3 linked regions of the Callithrix jacchus genome follow. The protein of the gene in region 3 interacts with the protein of the main gene of each other region in a pairwise test. Links are inferred from orthologs where the notes say so. Each region holds a gene or a part of one and is shown on either strand. Other genes may lie near its edges.

What was found.
Region 1: the proteins of KEAP1 (region 3) and PRKAG1 interact in binary tests that used the Homo sapiens proteins (3 or more experiments, as listed by UniProt). The two-hybrid records come from large-scale screens. The link is inferred for Callithrix jacchus from reciprocal best matches to the Homo sapiens genes KEAP1 and PRKAG1.
Region 2: the proteins of KEAP1 (region 3) and ETF1 interact in binary tests that used the Homo sapiens proteins (3 or more experiments, as listed by UniProt). The two-hybrid records come from large-scale screens. The link is inferred for Callithrix jacchus from reciprocal best matches to the Homo sapiens genes KEAP1 and ETF1.

What each region holds. Positions count from the first base shown.
Region 1 is NC_133510.1:70,552,828-70,558,212, forward strand, and holds part of PRKAG1 (5'-AMP-activated protein kinase subunit gamma-1), read left to right. Parts: intron 1-2,904; coding exon 2,905-3,014; intron 3,015-3,212; coding exon 3,213-3,294; intron 3,295-3,391; coding exon 3,392-3,450; intron 3,451-3,593; coding exon 3,594-3,639; intron 3,640-3,740; coding exon 3,741-3,795; intron 3,796-4,063; coding exon 4,064-4,190; intron 4,191-4,689; coding exon 4,690-4,855; intron 4,856-5,016; coding exon 5,017-5,054; intron 5,055-5,385. UniProt on the Homo sapiens protein: AMP/ATP-binding subunit of AMP-activated protein kinase (AMPK), an energy sensor protein kinase that plays a key role in regulating cellular energy metabolism.
Region 2 is NC_133503.1:36,922,493-36,926,935, forward strand, and holds part of ETF1 (eukaryotic peptide chain release factor subunit 1), read right to left. Parts: intron 4,402-4,443; coding exon 4,272-4,401; intron 4,013-4,271; coding exon 3,857-4,012; intron 3,424-3,856; coding exon 3,359-3,423; intron 1,643-3,358; coding exon 1,495-1,642; intron 1,223-1,494; coding exon 1,140-1,222; 3' UTR 1-1,139. UniProt on the Homo sapiens protein: Component of the eRF1-eRF3-GTP ternary complex, a ternary complex that mediates translation termination in response to the termination codons. The eRF1-eRF3-GTP complex binds to a stop codon in the ribosomal A-site.
Region 3 is NC_133523.1:9,671,890-9,676,709, forward strand, and holds the end of KEAP1 (kelch-like ECH-associated protein 1), read right to left. Parts: intron 4,278-4,820; coding exon 4,072-4,277; intron 3,791-4,071; coding exon 3,614-3,790; intron 1,762-3,613; coding exon 1,595-1,761; 3' UTR 1,082-1,594; downstream 1-1,081. UniProt on the Homo sapiens protein: Substrate-specific adapter of a BCR (BTB-CUL3-RBX1) E3 ubiquitin ligase complex that regulates the response to oxidative stress by targeting NFE2L2/NRF2 for ubiquitination.

The sequences.
Region 1 (5,385 bases), on a different chromosome or scaffold from region 3:
CCAGACAAACCAGCCCAGATTTGAGCAGTCAGAAGGCTCCAGCGAGACTTCTTTGGGTAGTTTAAATTGATAGACTATCTAATGCTTCTGAACCTCTTGAAGCATTTGCGGATTGGATTAGTTATGGGAATTATACATAGAAAATTAAACAAACAGGCTGGGTGTGGTGGCTCATGCCTGTAATCCCAGCCCTTTGGGAGGCTGAGGCGGGTAGATTGCCTGAGGTCAGAATTTCTAGACCAGCCTGGCCAACATGGTGAAACCTTGTCTCTACTTTAAAAAATATAAAAATTAACTGGGCATGGTAGCACATGCCTGTAATCCCAGCTACTCAGGAGGCTGAGACAGGAGAATCACTTGAACCTGGGAGGTAGAGGTTGCACCACTGCACTCCAGCCTGGGCTACAGAGCAGGACTATCTCAAAAAAATGAAAATTAAACAGAAGGACAAGACCATTAACTCCAGGGAAGACAAAGTTGTGAAAGGAAGAAAAAAAATCAGTTTACTATTCGGTTTATCTCTGAATAATAAACATTCAGTCACAATGATTTAAATACCGGCTGGCTGCAGTGGCTCATGCCTGTTATCCCAGCACTTTGGGAGGCTGAAGTGGGCGGATCACTTGAGGTCAGGAGTTTGAGACCAGCCTGGACAACATGGTGAAACTCCATTTCTACTAAAATACAAAAATTAGCCGGGCATGGTGGCAGGCGCCCGTAATCCCAGCTACTTGGGAGGCTGAGGCAGGAGAATTGCTTTAACCTGGGAGGCTGAGGTTGCAGTAAGTCGAGATTTTGCCACTGCACTCCAGCCTGGGTGACAAAGTGAGACTCCCTCTCAGGGGAAAAAAAAAAAAAAAAGGATTTAAATACAGATATATCTAATATGTTTTAGCTCCTGGAAGAATGGGGAGGATGGGAAGTAGGGGGAGGATGGGAAGTAGGGGAAGGATGGGAAGTACATGTTTGTGATGAAGCCCTAGTAGGAAAGAGAAATAGAAATTCTCATCTTCCTTCGTAGGTAGATGATAAATAATGCCCCAAAATGAAAAAAAAAAATCTGAAACTAGCAATACAAGCATGTTATTTAAGGACATAGAATTAAGTACCAAAATAATCAACTAAAAGAGGTGGATGTTCTCATCTCTGGGGAAGGGTAGTACAGGGAGGTAGGTTGCAAGGACTGCATTTTTTTTCTTAACAAAATTTGTAAATGTGTTTGACTCTTTAAACTGTGTGCCTGTATAACTTTGGTTAAAAAAAATTAAACAAATTGGCTAAAGACTTAAGAGCATGAAGTTTGGAATCAGATCTGAGTTTGAGTCTTTCTTGCCACTCATTGGCATTGGAGTGACTTTGAGCAGCTTATTTAACTACACCTGTTTTCTCATCTGAAACAGGACAGTACTTACAGATTTGTTGTAAGTTTTAAATGACGTAATTTTTTCTTTTTCTTTTGAGACAGAGTCTTACTGTCTTGCCAAGGCTGGAGTGCAGTGACAGGATCTCGGCTCACTGCAACCTCTGCCTACTGGGTTCAAGCGATTCTCTTGCCTCAGCCTCCCGAGTAGTTGGGACTACAGGCGCATGACACCACGCCTGGCTAGTTTTTGTATTTTTTTTCTTAGTAGAGATGGGGTTTTGCCATGTTTGCCAGGGGCTTGCTATGTTGCCCAGGCTGGTCTGAAACTCCTGACCTCAGGTAATCCACCCACCTTGGCCTCCCAAAGTGCTGGGATTACAGGCATCAACCACCTCACCAAGCCAATGTAATATTTTTAAGTACATTTAGTATAGTATGTAGCACATTCAAGCTATTATTTTGGGAGATTGCTTCCCTAGTTTAGAGCAAGCAATTAAAATCACAGGAACAGAAAAAGGTAAACCTAGCCAGGATCTCCCATTTGTCTCAAGTAGGTGGGATGATTTCTGATTTACAGGGTGATCCCAAAATGTACTCTCAAGGTGTTTTGAGCCAGGTTGATCGAGCACTGGGCTCTAACTTACTGTTGATCAGAACTGGCCCAATTTGGACCATGACTTTCCCATTTGCAGGTCTTAGGTTATTTTTTTTTTTTTGAGATGGAGTTTCGCTGTTGTTATCCAGACTGGAGTGCAATGGCGCGATTTCGGCTCACCACAACCTCCACCTTCTGGGTTCAAGCAATTCTCCTGCCTCAGCCTCCCAAGTAGCTGGGACTACAGGCGTGCACCACCATGCCCAGCTAATTTTTTTTTGTATTTTTAGTAGAGATGGGATTTCACCTTGTTGACCAGGATCGTTTCGATCTCTTGACCTCGTGATCCACCCGCCTCGGCCTCCCAAAGTGCTGGGATTACAGGCGTGAGCCACCGCGCCTGGCCAGGATATATATATATTTTTAATTGAGACAGGGGCTTGCTGTGTTGCCCAGGCTGGCCTCAAACTCCTGAGTTCAAATGATCCTCTTCCTCAACTTCCTGAATAGCTGGGATTACAGGTGCATGCCACCATGCCCAGCACAGTCTTTAAAGAATTTTAAGAAGCTTACTTCATTGAAAACAGAGAACGAGTGAAAAATGTGCTAAATATATGAAAGGGAAAGCTTAGATTAAAGATGAGAAAAAAGTTTATATATAACATGTTAAAGAGATACTATAGACTTTAGGTTTTAGTTAACTTTCTTATACCTATAGGGACCAATAGATAAAGTCTTAATCTGGAGATAGGGGTTGGATGAAATGGTTTCTAAGAGGTTTATCCAGGCTTTGTGGAAACAATAGGAACAAAAGATAAAATAAGGGACCTTATAAAAAATCATGCTCTAAATATTTGAGACACGAGAACACTATTTTGTTTTCTGTCTCTTTTGATTGGGAGTTTTCAATGTGGAAGGAAGCTACTAACTATTCCACCCTATGCAGAGACCCCAGAATCCAACAATAGCGTGTATACTTCCTTCATGAAGTCTCATCGCTGCTATGACCTGATTCCCACAAGCTCCAAATTGGTTGTATTTGATACATCCCTGCAGGTGGGTGAAATCCTCTTTTCCCTTCCCCTTTTGGAGGCTTTGGTTTAATACCTTTCATCCTGTCTCATCCCAAGGGTAGTATCCTTATCCTTCTGTGAACTTAGTCTCATGTTTTGCCCAACATGCTCAAACACTGTTCTTTTTTACAGTCTTGCCCCTATGGGTTTGCCTTTATGATTATTTCTGTCTTGGCTACAGGTGAAGAAAGCTTTCTTTGCTTTGGTGACTAACGGTGTACGAGCTGCCCCTTTATGGGATAGTAAGAAGCAAAGTTTTGTGGGTAAGCCAACGTTTCTGCAACACAGTATTATTAGCATCTTGTGCTGGGCAGGGATAGAAGCTTCAGGCAGTGCTTAGGGCTCTGTCTTGTCCTCTAGGTATGCTGACCATCACTGATTTCATCAATATTCTGCACCGCTACTATAAATCAGCCTTGGTAAGGAACTTCAGCCTAATGAACAAAGTCACTTTCTCTACCCTAAGTCCCTCATTCTCCTCCTTTCTTTTCCTCCAAGCAAGCCACAAGGGCTTAAGGAAGTAGAGAGTTCAGGTCTCAAATTCTGTTGCTTCTGCTTTCAGGTACAGATCTATGAGCTAGAAGAACACAAGATAGAAACTTGGAGAGGTATGTAGAGAATTGGGGTTGTAAAAAGATAAAGGGATGGAAGGTTTCTGGGAAACGCTTTTCCATGGTGGTATTTTATGACCCATCCCTTTTCCCTTCAGAGGTGTACCTCCAGGACTCCTTTAAACCGCTTGTCTGCATTTCTCCTAATGCCAGGTGAGTTCCAGCTGTCTATTCATCTGTCCAAAGGGGGAAGAGATTTGCCATCAGCATAGCTAATGCTCTAGACACCCAGGGAAAGGGAAAGAAGAGAGAAAACACACACACACACACACACTCTCTCTCTCTCTCTCTCTCATCTGTCCTGTACACTGCCCCGCTTCCCTAACCATCAGTTTTCCCTGTTACCTGTACACTGTATGGAGCAGTTTAACCACCCTCAGCCCCAGTACTGTGGAACTTATTATCTCCCACCCTCCCACAGCTTGTTTGATGCTGTCTCTTCATTAATTCGGAACAAGATCCACAGGCTGCCAGTTATTGACCCAGAATCGGGCAATACTTTGTACATCCTCACCCACAAGCGCATTCTGAAGTTCCTCAAATTGTTTGTAAGTACTCCTCAGCCCAGTTCCTTTTTCTCTTTTTTCATTTATTTATTTATTTGTTGAAAAAAGAGATGAGGATTACAGGTGTGAGCCACTGCATCCAGTCCCAGTTCTTATTTATTTATTAATTCATTTTGAGACAAGGTCTGACTTTGTTGCCCAGGCTGGAGTGGAGAGGCGCTATCACGGCTCACTTCAGCTTCCACCTCTTGGGCTCAGGTGATTACCCCCACCTCAACCCCCAGAGGAGCTGGGACTACAGGTGTGTACTACCACACCTGGCTAATTTTTTGGTATTTTTTTAGAGATGGGGTTTTGCCGTATTGCCCAGGCTGGTCTGAAACTCCTGGGCTCAAGCAATATGCCACCTCAGTCTTTGACAGTGCTGGAATTACAGGCATAAGCTGGCGCAACCAGCCCTTATTTCTACGTACTGGACTGGAGGGCTATCCAAGAGTGGTTTTGCATGCCTTCAAAGTTAAGTTGATGGTTCTTTCCTCAGATCACTGAATTTCCCAAGCCAGAGTTCATGTCCAAGTCTCTGGAAGAGCTACAGATTGGCACCTATGCCAATATTGCTATGGTTCGCACTACTACCCCCGTCTATGTGGCTCTGGGCATTTTTGTACAGCATCGAGTCTCAGCTCTGCCAGTGGTGGATGAGAAGGGTAAGAGATTGGGCAGAAGGAGAGGGAGGGAAGATCCAGGGAAATTAGGGGGGCTCTAGGAAAATCTGTTTTCCCCTCAGCTCAGCCAGGAGGGTGATTCTTTGAGTAGGGGGAGTCTTAGATGCCAGATCCTCCTTACTGAGCTGCCTCTGTCCCCCTAGGGCGTGTGGTGGACATCTACTCCAAGTTTGATGTGATCGTGAGTGATTGTGGAGGGTCTGGGAGGTAGGGAAGGGGTGGGGCTGTTAAATATGGAGGGGGAGAAGGGAGTCTCTTCTGTGATCTAAGGGTCTTAGAAGCTTCCAGGCTTTCAAAAAAAAAAAAAAAGGCCAGGCGTGGTGGTTCATGCCTGTAATCCTAGCACTTTGGGAGGCCAAGGTGGGTGGATCACCTGAGGTCAGGAGTTCAAGACCAAGACCAGCCTGGCCATCATGGTAAAACCCCATCTTGAAAAAAAAAAGAAGCTTCCAGGCTTTCAAGTCCTATTTGAAAAGAAATTGGATGAGTTGGGTGTGGCTTGTGGCTGGCAA
Region 2 (4,443 bases), on a different chromosome or scaffold from region 3:
CATCCCTTCCCTCCCGCCCCTAATTTCTCGTGTGAGAGGTGCTTATAAGTCCCACATTTGAAACAGATGCTCCAACCCCACCAGGAGGTCAGGAGTTTATAATTACATGCAGTCATACATGTCTGTCGTTCCTGTGAAAAACCTTGCAGTTCATTTTAATAAATCAAAACATTCACATAATCTCATGCCATCCAACACAAGGAAAATACGTCCACCTCCCTTTTAACAAGGACTGACCCAAGCAAAAGAAAATCCTCTTTAAATTTCTTCGCTTCCACTTAAATTGCATGTTTTATTCTCCCAATCCCAGCAAGAGCACAGAAGCCCCATCATATCCATCCCAAACTGGTTTCGAGTAGGTTAAGGTTATAGGGACCTTTGTCAGAACATCGATACAAAAGGCTCCCAAATGCTGGGCACAAATGTGTCTGCAAACAGATGGAAGTAAACAGTGCACTGGCCCAAATGCTTCATGAGTCAGTTTGATTTTGCAATGCAATTTGCATCCTTGAAACTGCCAGTCTGGAGGGGGACGGGGTAGCGTGAGGGAGTGAAGTTGAAATTGCCTCCTATTAGCTCACCCTTTCAACATTAAACAGAGACCAAGAGAGAAATGGTTCCAACATTTCACCACATGTATTTCTTCTTATGCAGTCTAAGCTGAGAATGCCATGTAAATGGGTCACTGCGAAATGCAGCAATTTAATTTTTTCTCCAATCAAAATAAGAAACAAACCAGTATGATCTCACTTCTATTAACTTTTGAAGGTTTACAGCAGTTAAAGTATTTTTGCTTCTATGTATGAAGGTTAAAAAAATCATTTTTTTTTTTTCATAAAATACAAGAGCAACCAATTTCACCATCGAGTAAAAGTAAAAACTGGGATTCTTTTTTAAATTAGTCCAAAGTGGCATTTAGGAACTTAGTTGTAGGCTGCTGCGCTGACACCATGACAAACCAAAGTGTAGGGTTGGGTCTGGTTTTGTTTCGGTTTCTTTTCAATATCCAATGCTCATGGATTAAGTTCTGGAAATGTTCCAATTGTAAGGCAGGGATCTGTTTGGATTCCACCATGGGTATGCTCCTTGGGTTGGATGCTGGAGGGTGAGGCACGTTTTGCCGGACCCATGTCGACTACCTAGTAGTCATCAAGGTCAAAAAATTCATCGTCTCCTCCTTGGTATTCCATTCCCTGGAAATCTACTCGGTACCGCAAGATACCTGGGGAAACAAACCAAAAGGTAAATTACCGTGTTCATGGAATGGGCCATTGGGTGTAGGGGGGCTGGTCACTCTAATAAGGGAAGCCCTATTCTCTTGCAGAATTATAGAAGAGGTAATAAAAAACATTGATCCAAATCAGGAACCTGCACCTGCTGCCTCAATTACCCATCTCAGTAGATAATGAGCACCTCACCTGAAGCAGGGTGAACCAGGAGGGGCCTTGGCCTGAGACCCTGGTTTTAAGTTTGGTTTGCTGATTTTCTACTCACCTCCAATTCCACCAAAGCCTTTCACAAACTGAGACCCTTCTTGTGATTTATCTGTGACAATTTCCAACGTAGCTCCAAATTTTTTATAGTTGTTAGCAAACCATTCCAACAGGGGCATGCTCTCAATAAGCTCATGTTCCTGTCCGGTCTATAGGGGTGACCATGAGATACAAAAATGGGGGATTAGGATATTATCAAGGCTTATTAGGCCCTCTCACAGCCCCTTGCCCAACCATCGCTCTCATCCTCCCACTTACATGTCTGTCTGTGTGTAAAGTCTGTAAGTAATCTCTGGTTTTGATAACATAATGGACATAAGCAGATAAATTCAGATTATTTCAAACAACACTTCTCTCCTCAGGCTCTATCCTCAGCAATGAAATGTCAACACAAACACTCTGGGTTTTCAGCTTATGATTCCCATTGTTGACTCTAGAAGTCAGGCTGTTGTAGTATCTTATCTCTAAGCAGCACTCATTGAATGGCCCAGAAGAGACATGCCAGGACTACTTTTGGGAGCAGCCTTGTAAAGAACAAAGCTCTTCAAATCAGAATTTGAGGAAGGTATGATTTAAACCTATCTCATAAGGGAGTGTGATACTTTAAACTGTGGTGATGCATTTAGAGCAAACCAGAGAAGCCACTACAGTTAAAGAGATGATAAAGTGAAGAAAGCAGCACAGGTTTCACAGTGCAGGAGAGACATTATGCAAAGTAAATTTTCCTCTCTATTAATGATTTCAAGGATAAAGAAATTTTTCCTGATTGCTTAACTAATTAAAAACACAAAACAAAAACAGGCCAGGCATAGTGGGTCTGGTGTGTAATCTCACCACTTTGGAAGACCAAGGCAGGAAGATCACTTGAGCCCAGGAATTCAATACCAGCCTGATGAACACAGCAAGACTCAGTTTTTTTTTTTTTTTTTTTGAGACGTAGTTTCACTCTTGTTACCCAGGCTGGAGTGCAATGGTGCAATATCGGCTCACCACAACCTCTGCCTCCTGGGTTCAAGCAATTCTCCTGCCTCAGCCTCTCGAGCAGCTGGGACTACAAGCGCGCGCCACCATGCCCAGCTAATTTTTGTATTTTTAATAGAGACGGGGTTTCACCATGTTGACCAGGATGGTCTCGATCTCTTGACCTTGTGATCCACCTGCCTTGGCCTCCCAAAATGCTGGGATTACAGGCGTGAGCCACCACGGCCGGCCAAGACCCAGTTTTTATTAAAAAAATTAGTCAAGTGGCTGGGTGCGGTGGATCACCTGAGGTCAGGAGTTCGAGACCAGGCTGGCCAACATGGTGAAACCCCATCTCCAATAATCTATGATTGTGCCACTGCATCCATCCTGGGTGACAGACCAGGACTGTACCTCAAACAGAGGCTGAAGTAGGCCGGGCATGATGGCTCATGCCTGTAATCCCACCACTTGGGAGGCTACTGAGGTAAGCAGACTGCTTGAGCTCAGGAGTTCAAGACCAGCCCGGGCAACATGATGAAAACCCATCTCCATAAAAAATTCAAAAGTTAGTTGGGCAAGGTAGTGTACAGAAAGGCTCAGGCAAGAGGATTGCTTGAGCCTAGGAGGCTGAGGTTGCAGTGAGCCAAGATCGTGCCTTTGTACTCCGGCTTGGGTGACAGAGTCAGCCTGTCTCCAAAAAACAAAACAACAAAAATAGGCTGCAGTAACTATGATTTGGCCTCCCTCCCTGGAATCAGAGATGATCACTTCCTACAGTCCCCCAACAACCCCAATTAATATGTGGTTTGGTTTCCCAAGGCTGACCCTCTACACTCCCAGTGTACTCTAACACATGGATTTATGCTTGCATATATCATCAAACCAAGAAAATAATCACATACCTCTTTGTCTGTGAAATGAGATTTATCCTTTTCTTGCTCTGGAGTTAGATAGAGAATTTTCTCCTCTGTAGTATTAGGAGGAAAAAATATGTTAACTTGGCTCTCATATACTAATCTGTATAAGCTCCATAAGTTGAGATTAGATGAGAAAAGGGCTCAGGGACTTGATCTCTCAACCTTTTTTCCATAAGCATGTTAGCATACATTGAGTGTCTACTAGGTACAATGCTTTAACCATAAGAAACATCAGAGATGTTCAAGATGCAGTCCTGGGCAGATTTAACAATCTTAAGTAGACATTAAACAGTTCAAGCAGAAAAATCTATGCAGGAATGTGCTACGGACTGAAGGAGCGGGGAACAAGGGGTAGATCTACTTTCTGATTGTTCCTGAAATCAGCCACCTTCCCCCAAATCTCCACCCCAGGCTTCCTGGGTCAGTAAGAAATACCAACTTTATTTTCTTTTTTCAACCAACTTTATTTTCTAATTCTCCTACCTTCTGTGCCTTGGCAATGAAGAACATATCTCATTATATCCAGATTTTCATAGACTATTAGAATTTCTACAGCTCCCATTTCCAAAGCCTTTAGTGTATCTTCAACGCCAAAACAGTATTTGCCCGTGTCCTGGCTGATTTCATCAAAGTATCGTCCTGTGATTAGGGACAAGTCAATAGAACATACATTAAAATTTTCTTAGATACAAACACACCTACTTGACCTAATGACTAAAGAAGATAAAAAATAATGCTTTCACTGAGGCAAAAGTGTTAATAAAAATGCTAAATTCCTCTCTTTTTACCTTTTTGATGCCTTGTCTCATACAATCATGTACATACATACATATGCATACACACACCCCCTCCAAAAACAAAACATTTCACGGAATATGTAGTTGCATTTCACTTATACCTATTAATTTCTTCTCTTGAATGAATTTCACGTTGGAGAGGACTTCAGTAGATAACTCAATAGCTTGGTTGAATCCATTTTCACCACCATAGGATATATCAACTAATTTTAAAACTTTCGATTGTAACCTCTGACATACAAAAAAAAAATATATATATTATTAGTACTTCAA
Region 3 (4,820 bases):
TTTGTGGAGTTGGAAAGTGGGTGTAGGCCGGGCAACATGGCAAAAATAAATTACAAAAAATAAATTAGCAGGGCATGGTGGTCCCAGCTATTGAAGAGGCTGAGCTGGGAGGATTTCCTCATTGCAGTAAGTTGAGGCTGCAGTGAGCCGTGACCACCCCACTACACTGCAGCCTGAGTGACGGATGAGATTGTCTCAAAAAAAAAGAAAAAAGAAACAGCTGATACCAAAATTGCTTAATTGAATTGACTAAACTTTTTTTTTTTTTTAAAAAAACAAGGTCTCGGCCAGGCGCAGCTCTTTGTGGGCTGAGTGGGGCAGATCACCTGAGGTCAGGAGTTTGAGACCAGCGTGGCCAACACGGCAGAACCATTTTCGTCTCTACTAAAAATACGAAAATGAGCCGGGTGCGGTGGCTCATGCCTATAATCCCAGCACTTTGGGAGGCTGAGGCGGGCGGATCACCTGAGGTCAGGAGTTCAAGACCAGCCTGACCAATATGGTGAAACCCTGTCTTTAAAAAAAAAAAAAACGAAAATGGCCAAGCGTGGTGGCTCATGCCTGTAATCCCAACACTTTGGGAGGCTGAGGTGGGCAGATTACCTGAGGTCAGGAGTTCAAGACCAGCCTGACCAACATGGAGAAACACTGTCTCTACTAAAAATACAAAATTAGCTGGGCATGGTGTTGGGTGCCTGTAATCCCAGCTACTTGGGAGGCTGAGGCAGGAGAATTGCTTGAACCCAGGAGGTGGAGGTTGCGGTGAGCCAAGATCGAGCCATTGCACTCCAGCCTGGGCAACAAGCATGAAACTGTCTCAAAAAAAAGAAATTGACCTTGGGGAGCCCTAGGAGATGTGGAGATGTCACAAGGAATTAGCTCCTTTGTCTTCCAAGGCAGCTGAAACTTAAAGACAACTGTGTGGCTTGCTGATGGGGAGAAAGATGCCCTACATATCAAAATGCGACGGGTAAAGATTCCAAACTGGTTTCAATGACCAGCCCTAAGTCAAAGAGAAGTGTATTTCAGGAGAAGAGCCCTTTCTGTCTCCGGGTTTCAGACCTTCAGCCGAGAGCCAGGGTGAAAGACACTAGTTAGTCTGTTCTTTATTTTCCTTGGAAAATTACAGGGTTACTTATCAACAAAATAACTGTCCAGGGAAGTGCCATTTGGTGGCTTGTATGTACAGTTCCATCCCTAGGAACCGTATTTCCAGAGGGGGCCTCCCCGTGAGGCCCCCTTGGCACCCTCCCAGGTATCCAAGAACAAATCATAAGGTGACGGCTGCTGGAGTGGGTCGGACCCAGGCCTACTGCTGGGCAGAGGGTTTGGGGGCCTCTCTCCTGGAAACCTGCTCTTCTCACACCCCTGTTCCCAGCCAGGCTGTCTTGGACACTCCTGGGGCTCTGCTGAGGGCACATGGTTCCTGCTTTGGACTTCTTTTGAGATGTCATTTTAACACTGAGGCATCCCGGCCTCCCTTCCCAGAGGATGGGTTATTTGCAGTGCCGTCTTTTCTTTCAGTCCCGGTTTTTATACAAAAACAACAATATTCCCCATTGGACTGTGTTTTCGTCCAAGAAACAAAAGTGCCTCAACAGGTACAGTTCTGCTGGTCGATCTGCTTCCGACAGGGCTCCATGGTGACAGCCACGCCCACCCCACTCCGGCCTGATGTCATTCGGGTCACCTCACTCCAGGTGTCTGTGTCTGGGTCATAACACTCCACACTGTCCAGGAATGTGTGACCGTCATAGCCTCCTACAGGGAGAACAGAAGGGACGGTTACCACCTGTCATGCCACATCCAAAAGCAGGGGACAGAAAGAGGGAGAAGCAGCTGCAAGATACAAAAGCAGGCCGGGCATGGTGGCTCACACCTATAATCCCAGCACTTTGCAGGGCTTAGGCGGGAGGATTGTTTGAGGCCAGGAGTTCGAGGCCAGCCAGGGCGACATAGCAAAACCCTAGTCTCTTACAAAAAAAAAAAAGGCCAGGCATGGTAGCTCAGGCCTGTAATCCCAGCACTTTGGGAGGCTGAGGCAGGTGGATCACTTGAGTCCAGGAGTTTGAGACCAGCCTGGGCAACATGGTGAAGCCCTGTCTCTACAAAAAAAGACAAAAATTTAGCCAGGCATGGTGGTGCTCGCCTGTAGTCCCAGCTACTAGGGAGGCTGAGGTGGGGAGGAACAGTTGAGCCTGGGAGGCCGAGGTTGCAGTGAGCAGAGATTGCACCACTGTACTCTAGCCTGGGAAACAGAGTAAGACCGTGTCTCAAAATAAATCAATAAAAATAGGCCGCTCATGGTGGCTCATGATTGCAATCCCAGCACTTTGGAGGCTGAGGCGGGCAGATCACCTGAGTTCAATACTATCCTGGACAACATAGTGAAACCCTGTATGCACAAAATGTACAAAAATTAGCTGGGCTTGGTGTCGCATGCCTATAATCCCAGCTACTTGGGAGGTGGAGATAGAATGTTTAAACCAGGGAGGAGGAGACTGCAATGAGCCAGTGTTGTGCCACTGCACTCCAGTGTGGGCAACAGAGTAAGACTTTCTCTCAAAAGTAGTAAATAGATAAAAATTTTAAAACATAAAACAAAAGCTGGACAGAGTGGCTCACGCCTGTAATCCTAACAGTTTGGGAGGCCGAAGCAGGTGGATCACTTGAGGTCAGGAGTTTGAGACTAGCTTGGCCAACATGGAGAAACCCCATCTCTACTAAAAATACAAAATTAGCCAGGTATGGTGATGTGCACCTGTAGTCCCAGCTACTTGGGAGGCTGAGACAGGAGAATTGCTTGAACCTGGGAGGCGGAGGTTGCAGTGAGCTGAGATCGCACTATTGCACTCCAGCCTCGGTAACAAGAGTGAAACTCCTCAACAAAACAAAATAAAAAGAAATAAGATTAGCCAGGTGTGGTGGGTGCATGCCTATGGTCCCCGATCCTTGGGAGGCTGAGACAGGAGGATGGCTGGAGCCCAGGTGGTTAAGGCTGCAGTGAGCTGTGATCACACTACTGCACTCCAGCCTGGGCAACAGAGCAAGACCCTGTTTCTTTTCTTTTCACTTTTTTTTTTTTTTTTTTTTTTTAAGAGACGGGGTTTCACCATGTTGACCAGGATGGTCTTGATCTTTTGATCTTGTGATCTGCCCGCCTTGGCCTCCCAAAATGCTGGGATTACAGGTGTGAGCCACTGCGCCCGGCTTTGCTTTTCTTTTTTAGATGGAGTTTTGCTCTTGTTGCCCAGGCTGGAGTGCAAGGTGCAATTTCAGCTTACTGCAACCTCTGCCTCCCGGGTTCAAGCAATTCTCGTGCCTCAGCCTCCTGAGTAGCTGAGATTACAAGCGTGCTCCACTATGCCTGGCTAATTTTTGTATTTTTAGTAGAGACAGGGTTTTACCACGTTGGCCATGCTCGTCTCAAACTCCTGACCTCAGGTGATCTACCCGCTTCAGACTCCCAAAGTGCTGGGATTACAGGCGTGAGCTACCGTGCCCAGCCATGAGACACTGTTTCTAAAAAAAAAAAGAAAAGAAAAGCAAAAGCAGCCACCTGTCCACAACAGATGAGACTAGTCAGGACTCTTCCCCACCCCCAGGGCCTCACCAAGGACGTAGATTCTCCCCTGGTGCACAGTGATCCCCAGGGCACTTCGCCGGTGCTTCATGGGGGCCACGAACGTCCACGTCTCTGTTTCCACGTCATACCGCTCCACGCTGTTCAGCTGATCCTGACCATCATAGCCCCCGGCAGCATAGATACAGTTGTGCAGGACGCAGACACCTAAAGGACACCGTGCACAGAAGGTGATTCTGGGGTCTGGCTTCAGGAACCCCAGCCATCACCTCCTTGAGGGAGACTTTTCCTCTCTCCTCTACCTTCTCACCCTCAGAAATGAAGTGGGAGAGAGAGAAGCTTGGACTCCATCAGAATCCAGTGCTTCTGTGGGTACCCAGGGTGAGGGTGACAACAGGGGGGTCTCTCCCAGGCCTGGTTCAGTTTCACCCTAGGATGATGAGGGGGTGGTGGTCCTGGACGCTCCCCTCCCTGCCGTCCTCAAGTACCTGCCCCGCTCCGGATGGTGTTCATGGGTGTGATCATTCGCCACTCGTTCCGCTCTAGATAATAGCACTCAGCTGAATTAAGGCGGTTCGTCCCATCAAATCCCCCGACGGCATATAGCAGACGATTCAGGACGGCCACGCCCACCCCGATCCTTCGTGTCAGCATTGGGGCCACCAAGTGCCACTCATCTCGCTCTGGCTCATACCTGCAAGGGCGTGAGAACAATGGTGACAATGGCCATTATAGCTGACCTTTGTGGAATACTTAAGGGCCCTGTTCGTTCTTTTTTGCTTCCCTTAAATAGACAAGGTCTTGTTCTGTTGTCCAGGCTGGAGAGCAGTGGCACCATCACAGCTTAATGAAACTTCAGACCCTTCTTTTTTTTTTTTGAGATGGAGTTTTTGCTCGTCACCCAGGCTGGAGTGCAACAGCACGATCTCTGCTCACTGTGACCTCCACCTCCTGGGTTCAAGTGATTCTCCAGCCTCAGCCTCCAGAGTAGCTGGGATTACAGGCACCCACCACCTGCCCGGCTAATTTTTTTTTTTTGAGACGGAGACTAGCTCTATCACCCAGGTGCCAGAGTGCAGTGGCATGATCTTGGCTCACTGCAACCTCCACCTCCCGGGTTCAGGTAATTCTTCTGCCTCAGCCTCCAAGTAGCTGGGATTAGAGGTGTCCACCGCAATGCCCGGCTAATTTTATATTTTTAGTAGAGATGGGCTTTCACTGTGTTAGCCAGGCGGGA